Daphnia pulex: one gene and its partners. The protein of the gene in region 1 interacts with the protein of each later gene in a pairwise test. Links are inferred from orthologs where the notes say so. Each region holds a gene or a part of one and is shown in the gene's direction. Other genes may lie near its edges.

Region 1 (3,100 bases):
TAAATATATGTGTGTATAAAATTCTTTTCTGATTTCTTCATGTATTTGAGGAGAAACGACGATAGAGAGCAGAGAACAACCCCTCGCTTTTATATATTCCCTTTTTTGAAAAGCTTGCGGCATCAATGCAGAGTCACACAGTTGATTAGAATACAAAGGAAGTGTACGAGGAAGCCAGGAACTTGCCTTTCAAGGGGTTTTGGGGGTTTTGGTTCAAACCGACGTCACTGTTGTTGGCTGGCCTGCCTGGCTGTACAGATCCCAGAGGGATATCAGAGAGTCGCTACCTCCGGCGGCCAACAAGCCGCCGACGCCGCCGCCGCTTTGACCCATGATGAAGACCAGGCTGTTGACAGGGCCGTCGTGAAGTTGAAGGACGCAGAGCTTTTTATGAGTTCGGGCACTGAAGAAGCGAATGCGATGGTCCCAGCCGGCTGTTGCGTAGAGACGCGGGTCGGATAGGCGGAGCGCCATGACGTTCAGTCCGGGATTGGTCAGCACGACAGACTTGAGCTCGGTTAGGTCGTCGACGTTGAAGATGTATAATGTTTCGCATGAAGTTCCTAATAGGAGTTCATTACGCTGAGCATGATGCCCCAAGCAAGTCGGCATGCTCTTGACCCTTGTTCGATGGAGTACAACGTTCTCGTTCCAGATGCAAATGCATCCACTTTCATAGGCGGTTACTACAGTCGTCTGTTTCCCCAACAATTTAATGGCCATTAATGCTCCTTCGTCGTCGTCGATCGTTAGCGTGCCGGTACGGTCCAGCGACGTCGTTTCCTGACTGATGTTGAAGATTTCAACTGAATTCTTCTTGGCAGGGATGGCTATGATGTTGGCCCAAAGGTCACACTTGCAGAATCCTTCATGAGTGACTAGCATCCGATGAACTGAGATTCCTTCTGCATTCCAGATGATGAGAGATTCATTTCTTCCATGTGAAATTATGTAACCAGGTCTGTCATCCAAAGCCCCAATCCACACAATTGTGGCACTGTGAGCTTGCCAGGTCTTGGTTGGTCGATAAACCTGAATTTAAAAGGTGTTTCGTCATTAGACAATCAATTTTAAGCAAATCAATTTAAGCCTACATTTAAATTCCAAATAGTTATGAATCCAATCTCTGATCCACTGACTAGATTGTATTCACCATCCTCTTTTAGTCTTAGTGCAGCTAATGCAGTGACTGGTCCACTTGGATTGTGCAGAATGTGGACTGGATCTGGTGGTGGTTGAGCCATTTTGTCTTTAATAACCAAATTTGTTTAGTTTCCTAATGCTCAGCTATAGTAGATGATAAGAACTGACCTCAAATAAATGTATCCATCGACAATTTCGAATTAAAAAGCTAATTTTGTTTTTGCATGTCTCACGTCAAAAACTTTCAAAAAGTTGTTTTCTTTTTGGTTCTACAGGTTCACCAGCGCCATCTATGGTGAATAATACACAATCCGTACAAAATCGGCTTTTTACATTGCAGACTAAAAAAACCTTTTTCTGTCTTCTAAAAGCAAAATCTCCAAAAATGGCCTCGACCGCAGCATGTGAACCTATCGAAGATAGTCTGAAATTATCCGGAAAAAAGTCTTTTGCTGGCATTCCCGAAGCTACCTTTGTGGTAAATATCGTTTGTGAAAACACCATGTCAAATTTCTTTCCGTTCAGTGCAATATCAGTTTATACCGGTGACAGGAAGATGTAGACGCTTACATGAAGGATCGTGAAGGGGTGGAGTCAATTTTGCGGCAACTAGACGAACAACATGGTATGTTATTTAATTAAGCCATAATGTATCTTTGCCATGCTTGTTAATTTTATCAATCTTTGTTACAGGAAAATATAAATTCATGGAGCTTAACCTTCTGGCACGCAAAAAGAAGTTGAAGAGTCAAATTCCAGACATCCAAAAATCACTTGACATGATTCAAGTGCTGGAAGCAAAAAGGAAAACTAACGAACAAATTGAAACTCACTTTTTACTCTCAGACCTTCTGTACTCTAGGGCAGTTATTGAACCCACAGATAAAGTCTGCTTGTGGCTAGGGGTAAATTATACCATTTAAACTATACAAGATTGCAAACTAATATTCTGTTTATTTTTCAGGCTAATGTGATGTTGGAATACACTTTAGAAGATGCTAAGGCTTTGTTGGAAAAAAATCATGAAACAGCTATGAAGAATCTTGCACAAGTACATCATGATCTGGACTTCCTTAGGTAAGTTTACTCTGTTTGGCTTGGCTTTCCCTAACAGTGTAACTTTAAATGTTTTTTAAAATCTATACAGGGATCAGATGACAACAACTGAAGTGAACATGGCTAGGCTTTACAATTGGGATGTCAAGAGAAGACAAGCCCTGAATGCTAAATAATAATTCTTTACAGCTAGCATGAAAGGAAACTACTGCAATTGTTCACAATAAAAAATTTTGCTTCAGAATCAAGTTTTTTATTTAATAATGAACATGAAATACATAATAAATGAGTTAAATGTCAAGGCACAGAAGGTAGTGATTTGACAGATGGAAGTGGCCTCAATTTATCTGTTCATCATGATCAGGTGTACTTTGTTCAGAAGGTTCCTCCTTACTCAAACTTTCTACAGCCAAGTACTTTTGAAGTTCTGCAGACAGCCTTTGATTCTCCTCCCTAATATAGAAAATGTGTTCGGTATTCTATGGCTGTAATCATTGTGTAATATTAAATAGCGACTCACTTCAACATCTCAGCTTGTCTCCGAGCAAAATGCAATTCATTCCTCATGGACTCCAGTTCAGCCTGATCGGGATGGGCAACACTCAGGTGGGTTTTTAGGTACCTAATTATGTGAGGAAAAATCTGTATTGTAATAAGTGTTATATGTGTAAGTAATCAAATTCATTGTTACATCAATGCATCATTTGGTTTCTCTGGCTCTTCATAGAGTCCAACCAAAACTTTTGTCAGAGCGTCCATGACTCCTGCCTTCTCTAAATAACGACGAAATTCGTCACGTTTGCTTTCCATTTCTTGATCAGTTTGTATTGAAAATCGTAAAACGGTTGTTTAGAAGGTATGATTTAAAACAAAATCAATGAAATTCTTTCGAAGTAGGTAC
Region 2 (3,032 bases), on another chromosome or scaffold:
TGGCTGTTGGGGAGCCAAGGACCTTGTTCCGAAAATGAAACGCTAGAGCGTTACGCCACAAATACCGTCGGATGTCAATTAAGAGCATTTAAGATTGGTAGGAGACCTCATCACGGGGGCAACGAAATTGATGAACGGAATCTGGAAGATAAGGAAGCCGAAAGTAGATCCCCATCAGGTAGATCCGTCGCTGTAGCCGGAATGCGTCCTTGTGGTCCCGGTAGCCGCCGAACGCAGACAGGAAAGTGCCGGCCGAATATCGGTTAAGTCACCTTTTTTTTCAAATAATTGTATTTTGTTCTTCTTTGATGAGATCCGTCCGATACAATTAATTCAGGTAATTTGAATATCGGAAAATAATTTGTTTCGTTATTGGTAATTACTTTTTAAAAATCTTGTTTTAGATCAGCATTCCATGGATAACCAACCCATTTTTAATATTGTCAAAGAAGTCAGAAAAACATAATATCGTTTAATGCATTTAGTCTAAATTTTTCGCTTGTTTCTTCATGTAAAATATTTGACACGATACACAAAAATACTTTAAAAAAATGCTATACATTACATATTCAATTCATCCTGAGTTCCTCATTAAAAGTTATTGATTAGACTTGTGCATCCTAGTAATTGATTCTGAAAGTATTCATTGTGTGAATGGTAAGCATAATTGTGCCAGTGCGTTGTGCATAGACTATCGAGTCCTGTTCGTTAAAAAGCAACGTTTTCTTATCGCTTAGTTAAGTTGCAGCTTATAGTGTCCTTATTGGCTGTCAAATTAAAAAAATGTTATTTAGTCTCAGTGTAACAGTAAAAGAGAGCTCTGTCTGGTGTCTAGTCAGATTCCAGTCCGCCCACACAATATCTGTATATCAAGAACCTCTGTATATCGAGATATCGAAAGTGATAAAAGGGAGTTACATCCTGGACTGGCCAGCAGATTTTGATGCTCGGTGACCCCCAGTACATTGATCTTTGCTGTTCTGAAGGATTCCTGCCTTTCCAGTAGCCAATAGGCCATAAGAGTTCAGACTATTCTCTGTGTGTCTCGCAAGATGATTGTAGACGATTGGAAATATATAGCGGTCTTACGTTGCGGCACGTGTCGTGTCACCCGGTATCTGTCGTCTGACTGATTGTGAAGAAATCGTCAACTCATGACGGAAGGTCGGAAAACGCACCACTGTCTGCCCTTTTCATACTCCTGATCGCTCCTGATCTTGATACCGATGAAGTAGAGACTGTCGCCGAGAGGCCGGTTTTTTTCCTCTGGCTCCTTCAACGCTGAATATTTCGCAATCACAATAACAAGGAATCCAATCCGTCTATACTTATTCCTATTTTTTTGCAACTTGAAAAAAGAATTCAAGTCTCAAATTAGAAACAAGATGCATGATTTAAAAAATTTCTCCGTGAATTCTCAATGACTGAAGGCTTTAGAAATATTTCTATAAATAATTGTGACTTCATTTTCAGGTGTTTTTCTCTGAAACCATCTTATAAGAACAGATGCTGTTTAGAAATGCTAAACGCCCAAACCTTTAAATCACGTCGTCTGCTCTTTTACACTGGTGGTGGTGGACATTTCCTTTTAAAGGTACACCCAAAATACTCGAATTTTTGCGGTTCTATATATTTGTATTTCTCGTTAAGTTGATAGATTCCAATCAAGTAACACACCTGTGAAAATGGCTGGTAATGCACAAAAAGATAAAGCCCAAGGAGGAGATAATATGCAGAAAATAGACTTGACCACTTTGACACTTCCACAGCTGTCTCAGTTAAAGCAGCAACTTGAACAAGTCATTATTTCATTATTTTATTTTATAGAATTATTTATAACTGCTTTCTTTCATTTTTGACTGTATAGGATTTAAGCCTGTACCAAGATTCTCTTCAGACTTTGAAAATTGCACAGACAAAATTTCAAGAATCAGCTGAAAGTGCTGAGAAACTAGAATCTACCCAGGAAGGTGCACCTATACTTGTTCCACTCACAGGATCTGTAAGCTAGATTAAAGTAATTGTACATATGATTTCTTGGTATAAGACCTTATATTTGATAGATGTATGTGCCTGGAAAAATCAGTAAACCAGAACAACCTTTGATTGATATTGGAACCGGTTACTATGCAGAGAATGTAAGTGCTGATAATCTTGTCAAAAGATTGAAATGGTTACTAAGTTTTATTGTTTAATGTTCAGACAATTGAACAAGCTAAGAGTTATTTCAGACGTAAAGTAAAGTTTGTTACTGAACAAATGGAGAAAGTACAGATGCTTGGTATTGAAAAGAGTCAAGTCAGAGATGGTAATTTACTTTGATATTATTTTTAATTTTCTCTATGTACTAAAGATTTTTTTACTGCAGCTGTTGCTGAAGTGATGGATTTGAAAGTACAAGCCCAAGTTGCCGCCAACCCTCAGGCTGCAGTTCGCGCTTAAACAGACCATCCGTACAGTATAATAAATGAATAATAAAATTTCATCATCAACAAATTGACATTTTCATTGCTTTAATTTTTTATTTCGATTCGTAATGAAGCTGCTGAGTCTCAAACAGTTAAACTTGCACTGTTAATAACATGGAGGAGTACAAAAAGGGAGATTTCCAATAGAAAAAACGATTTTGTGCATCGTTGTACCTGCCCGGTCGCAGATAAACTTGATGGCCATTGAACATACGCAACAACAGCGAAGTTAACACACAAAAAGTAGTTAAAAAAAATTGCCAAACCGAACATTGGAAATGGGACAAAAAAATTTAGGAATTCAGGTCTACACGGGGACTAGACAGCACATTTTTTCGCCTTGACAGAAAAAAATTATCAATTGTTACACTTTAAATTTCTCACTTTTGAAGCGGTGCAACATTAGTCCAGACCAGCGGATTTAGTCTATGTCAGAGCTTTTAACTAGAAGGTTGAGCATTATTAGCATTAGATATTTCGTCAGAAGAGGATTGATACACTTCCAACATCATGTTGCGCACTCGCTCCATTAACTCAGGTAAATCTTCCATTGTCATGCCTTTA
Region 3 (2,708 bases), on another chromosome or scaffold:
TAAATAATCCAATGTCCCGCACATGGTTGTACGCCTATTGAACAAAAACAATATAACATAAATAACTTCGATTTGTTTGGTTCTACACTAAACAATCATATTTTACTTTACCTAGACGAAGGAGCATGGACGGACCAACCAAAATCGGCTATTTTAATTTCTCCATGAAATCCTAGTAAAAGATTTTCTGGCTTAATATCTCGGTGGATTACTTTCCGCGCGTGACAGTATATCAATGCATCAGCTAGCTGAGCCATGTAATTGGCCGTCCTAAAAATAGGGGTAAATTATTTTCCACAGAACTTATGTTTCTGTTATTTTAAAAAATTTACTGTGGTTCAGAAAAACGGCCATTGGGTTGGCGTTTCAGGTACTTGTACATTTCTCCATTTGCGGCGAATTCCAAGATGAGGTAAATACGAGTTTCATCATAAAAATATCCGTGCATGCGTAAAACATTGGGATGTCTACAGTAGAGTCGCAGAAAAGGTTGATGTGCATTAGTGATATAAATTTTCCATAAAACATGTGATCTCATTAGTATGTACCGTAAATGTGACTGGATTTCAATTTCACGTCTCAACTGGTGTTCCATCTGACATTTTTGTAGTTGAGATTTAAACAAAACCTTCAGGGCTACAATGTATTTGGTATTGATTTCTCTAGCCAAGTACACATTTCCAAACTTCCCTTTACCAAGAGGACGGCCAATTTCGAAGTTATCAAGACTCCATCTGGGTTGAAACAAACAAGCAGAGAAACACACATGATTTGGAAGATTAATGCCACAATTAAAATATTTAAGTCAAGAAGATAAATGAGAAACACTTTGTTGGATTCTGAAAAACAAAAAATTCTAACATACTTTGAGTTTTCCAACTTAACAGTAGGTTGGTTTGAAGAGTTCTCTTTAAGTGGCTGCTTGGTTTCCATGTTATCTGTCAATTTCAAAATCAAAACATGAAACATTTACAAAAACACGAAGTTCAAACTTACTTATTCACTTACATTTTCGTAAAAAACGTTTAGATTGGTCTAAATTTTCAAAATGTGTTGTAATTGTATATACCTGTATACCAATGTCTAAACTTCTAAACTCTAAAACCCTAAACCGTGGTCTACTACGGTGCTGCTGCTACTGGACGGTTTTGGACAAATGGGAAAATATTCAAACGGCAGAACAACCGGCGTTGCCGGTATGATGGTATTATGGAAATATTTTCGCCTCCTCCGTTTGTCGTTTTTCTCAGATTTTCTATAGACTTCGTCTTCGTGTCTAAGACTAATTTATTATTAAATTATTTCATTATCATTAAGACGATTATTGTTCTCGGTGCTCTGCAATCTGCAAATAGGCCTAAGTCAATTTCGACAATCGTCGATCGTCGACTTCGCTACATTCTACCGCTAGTCTCAAATAGGAACTAGGAGGGTAGGAAGTAGAATAGCCTGAAGTTTGTCTGCTGCTTAGTGCTTTTGATACGTAAAAAATGGCGACTGACGGAAGCAAAAAGCAAGCTAAAAATGCTCCGAAAAATGTTAGCAAATCGAATGAAGAAGTCATCCAAGGATTTCAAAGATTACGAACTGAACAGAGACAACTAGCTAGTAAATTATCTGAGCTCGAAATGGATCTAAACGAGCACAAGTAAGTTTTACCGGTTTCACTTTATAAACAGACTTCCATAGCGTGTAGAGGATAATTTACTCCTACTATTAACTATGTCATATTTTTTTTCTTACTCAGACTAGTAATAGAAACCCTTCAAAATGTGGATGAAGACAGGAAGTGCTTTCGCATGGTTGGTGGAGTACTAGTTGAACGAACTGTCAAAGAAGTTCTGCCTGCACTGACATCAAACAGGGACCAGGTAACTTGTTTTCATATTGTATTATTTGGTTGTAATTTTAATTACAATTTATTTTTTATATAGATGACTAAAGTAATTGAAGTTCTCAATAATCAAATTTCCACCAAGGGACAAGAAATTAATGACTTCAAGGAAAAGAATAATATCAGGATACGAAATCAAAATGAACTCCCATCTACAGCTCCTGATAATGAAGGAGAAAATAAAGTTGCCAATCAGGGGGTTTTGGTGGGCACCAAACCTTAACTGATATACCTTGTTTTGTATGCTCTGCTGCTGAAGAAAAATCAGAAAACATATGTTTTGCTTTTGCTTATTTTTATGAATCTAATACTTTCATCTGCTCTACTATCCTAATGGAAGGTTAGAGTACTAAACAATCTGTGTGATTTACCAAGAAAGCTTTTAAGAAGCTTAGCTATTCTAACTTTTGATGTATTTATGAATTACTAGCAGGAATTATTCTATTAGATTTCTATTGAATGCACAATAACTTAGTTTATCTCTGGTTTCTCCGAAGAGCGACAACGCTATAAAATCATATGGATTTGAGATCACACCGGATTTTAAACCAATAATTTTTGCTGCTGCGAACTGTTTAGTTTGTGTGTAATATTTGAAAAGTCAAAAGTGTTCCCCACAAAATTGCTTTGGCGCAGTTCTCCGTAAAATTTGTTTTACAGATAAGTAAACAATGGTGATCAAAATATTTAATTTATTTTCTAGGTGAAAAGTTGGTCTAGACAGTCTACTTATGCAGTATACACCAAAACGATTCGACGACGATGTGTGGGAATTGGTCTCGATGTCAGGTTAAATTCTCATCGTAAGTTTGCT

Evidence for each region.
Region 2: the proteins of prefoldin subunit 3-like (region 1) and prefoldin subunit 5-like interact in binary tests that used the Drosophila melanogaster proteins (3 or more experiments, as listed by UniProt). The link is inferred for Daphnia pulex from reciprocal best matches to the Drosophila melanogaster genes mgr and Pfdn5.
Region 3: the proteins of prefoldin subunit 3-like (region 1) and prefoldin subunit 2-like interact in binary tests that used the Drosophila melanogaster proteins (3 or more experiments, as listed by UniProt). The link is inferred for Daphnia pulex from reciprocal best matches to the Drosophila melanogaster genes mgr and Pfdn2.

What each region holds. Positions count from the first base shown.
Region 1 is NC_060028.1:10,584,701-10,587,800, forward strand, and holds prefoldin subunit 3-like, read left to right. Parts: upstream 1-1,458; 5' UTR 1,459-1,528; coding exon 1,529-1,621; intron 1,622-1,695; coding exon 1,696-1,768; intron 1,769-1,836; coding exon 1,837-2,048; intron 2,049-2,107; coding exon 2,108-2,220; intron 2,221-2,290; coding exon 2,291-2,375; 3' UTR 2,376-2,443; downstream 2,444-3,100. Other genes in the region: guanine nucleotide-binding protein subunit beta-like protein 1, read right to left, coding at 214-1,032, 1,095-1,244; c-Myc-binding protein-like, read right to left, coding at 2,538-2,652, 2,720-2,821, 2,891-3,009. UniProt on the Drosophila melanogaster protein: Binds specifically to cytosolic chaperonin (c-CPN) and transfers target proteins to it. Binds to nascent polypeptide chain and promotes folding in an environment in which there are many competing pathways for nonnative proteins.
Region 2 is NC_060023.1:2,200,234-2,203,265, forward strand, and holds prefoldin subunit 5-like, read left to right. Parts: upstream 1-1,444; 5' UTR 1,445-1,594; intron 1,595-1,650; 5' UTR 1,651-1,685; coding exon 1,686-1,799; intron 1,800-1,867; coding exon 1,868-2,002; intron 2,003-2,063; coding exon 2,064-2,138; intron 2,139-2,202; coding exon 2,203-2,308; intron 2,309-2,368; coding exon 2,369-2,442; 3' UTR 2,443-2,496; downstream 2,497-3,032. Other genes in the region: 1-acyl-sn-glycerol-3-phosphate acyltransferase alpha-like, read right to left, coding at 2,909-3,032. UniProt on the Drosophila melanogaster protein: Binds specifically to cytosolic chaperonin (c-CPN) and transfers target proteins to it. Binds to nascent polypeptide chain and promotes folding in an environment in which there are many competing pathways for nonnative proteins.
Region 3 is NC_060024.1:9,271,827-9,274,534, reverse strand, and holds prefoldin subunit 2-like, read left to right. Parts: upstream 1-1,403; 5' UTR 1,404-1,490; coding exon 1,491-1,648; intron 1,649-1,747; coding exon 1,748-1,871; intron 1,872-1,934; coding exon 1,935-2,117; 3' UTR 2,118-2,170; downstream 2,171-2,708. Other genes in the region: aurora kinase-like, read right to left, coding at 1-34, 112-270, 333-467, 549-734, 866-933. UniProt on the Drosophila melanogaster protein: Binds specifically to cytosolic chaperonin (c-CPN) and transfers target proteins to it. Binds to nascent polypeptide chain and promotes folding in an environment in which there are many competing pathways for nonnative proteins.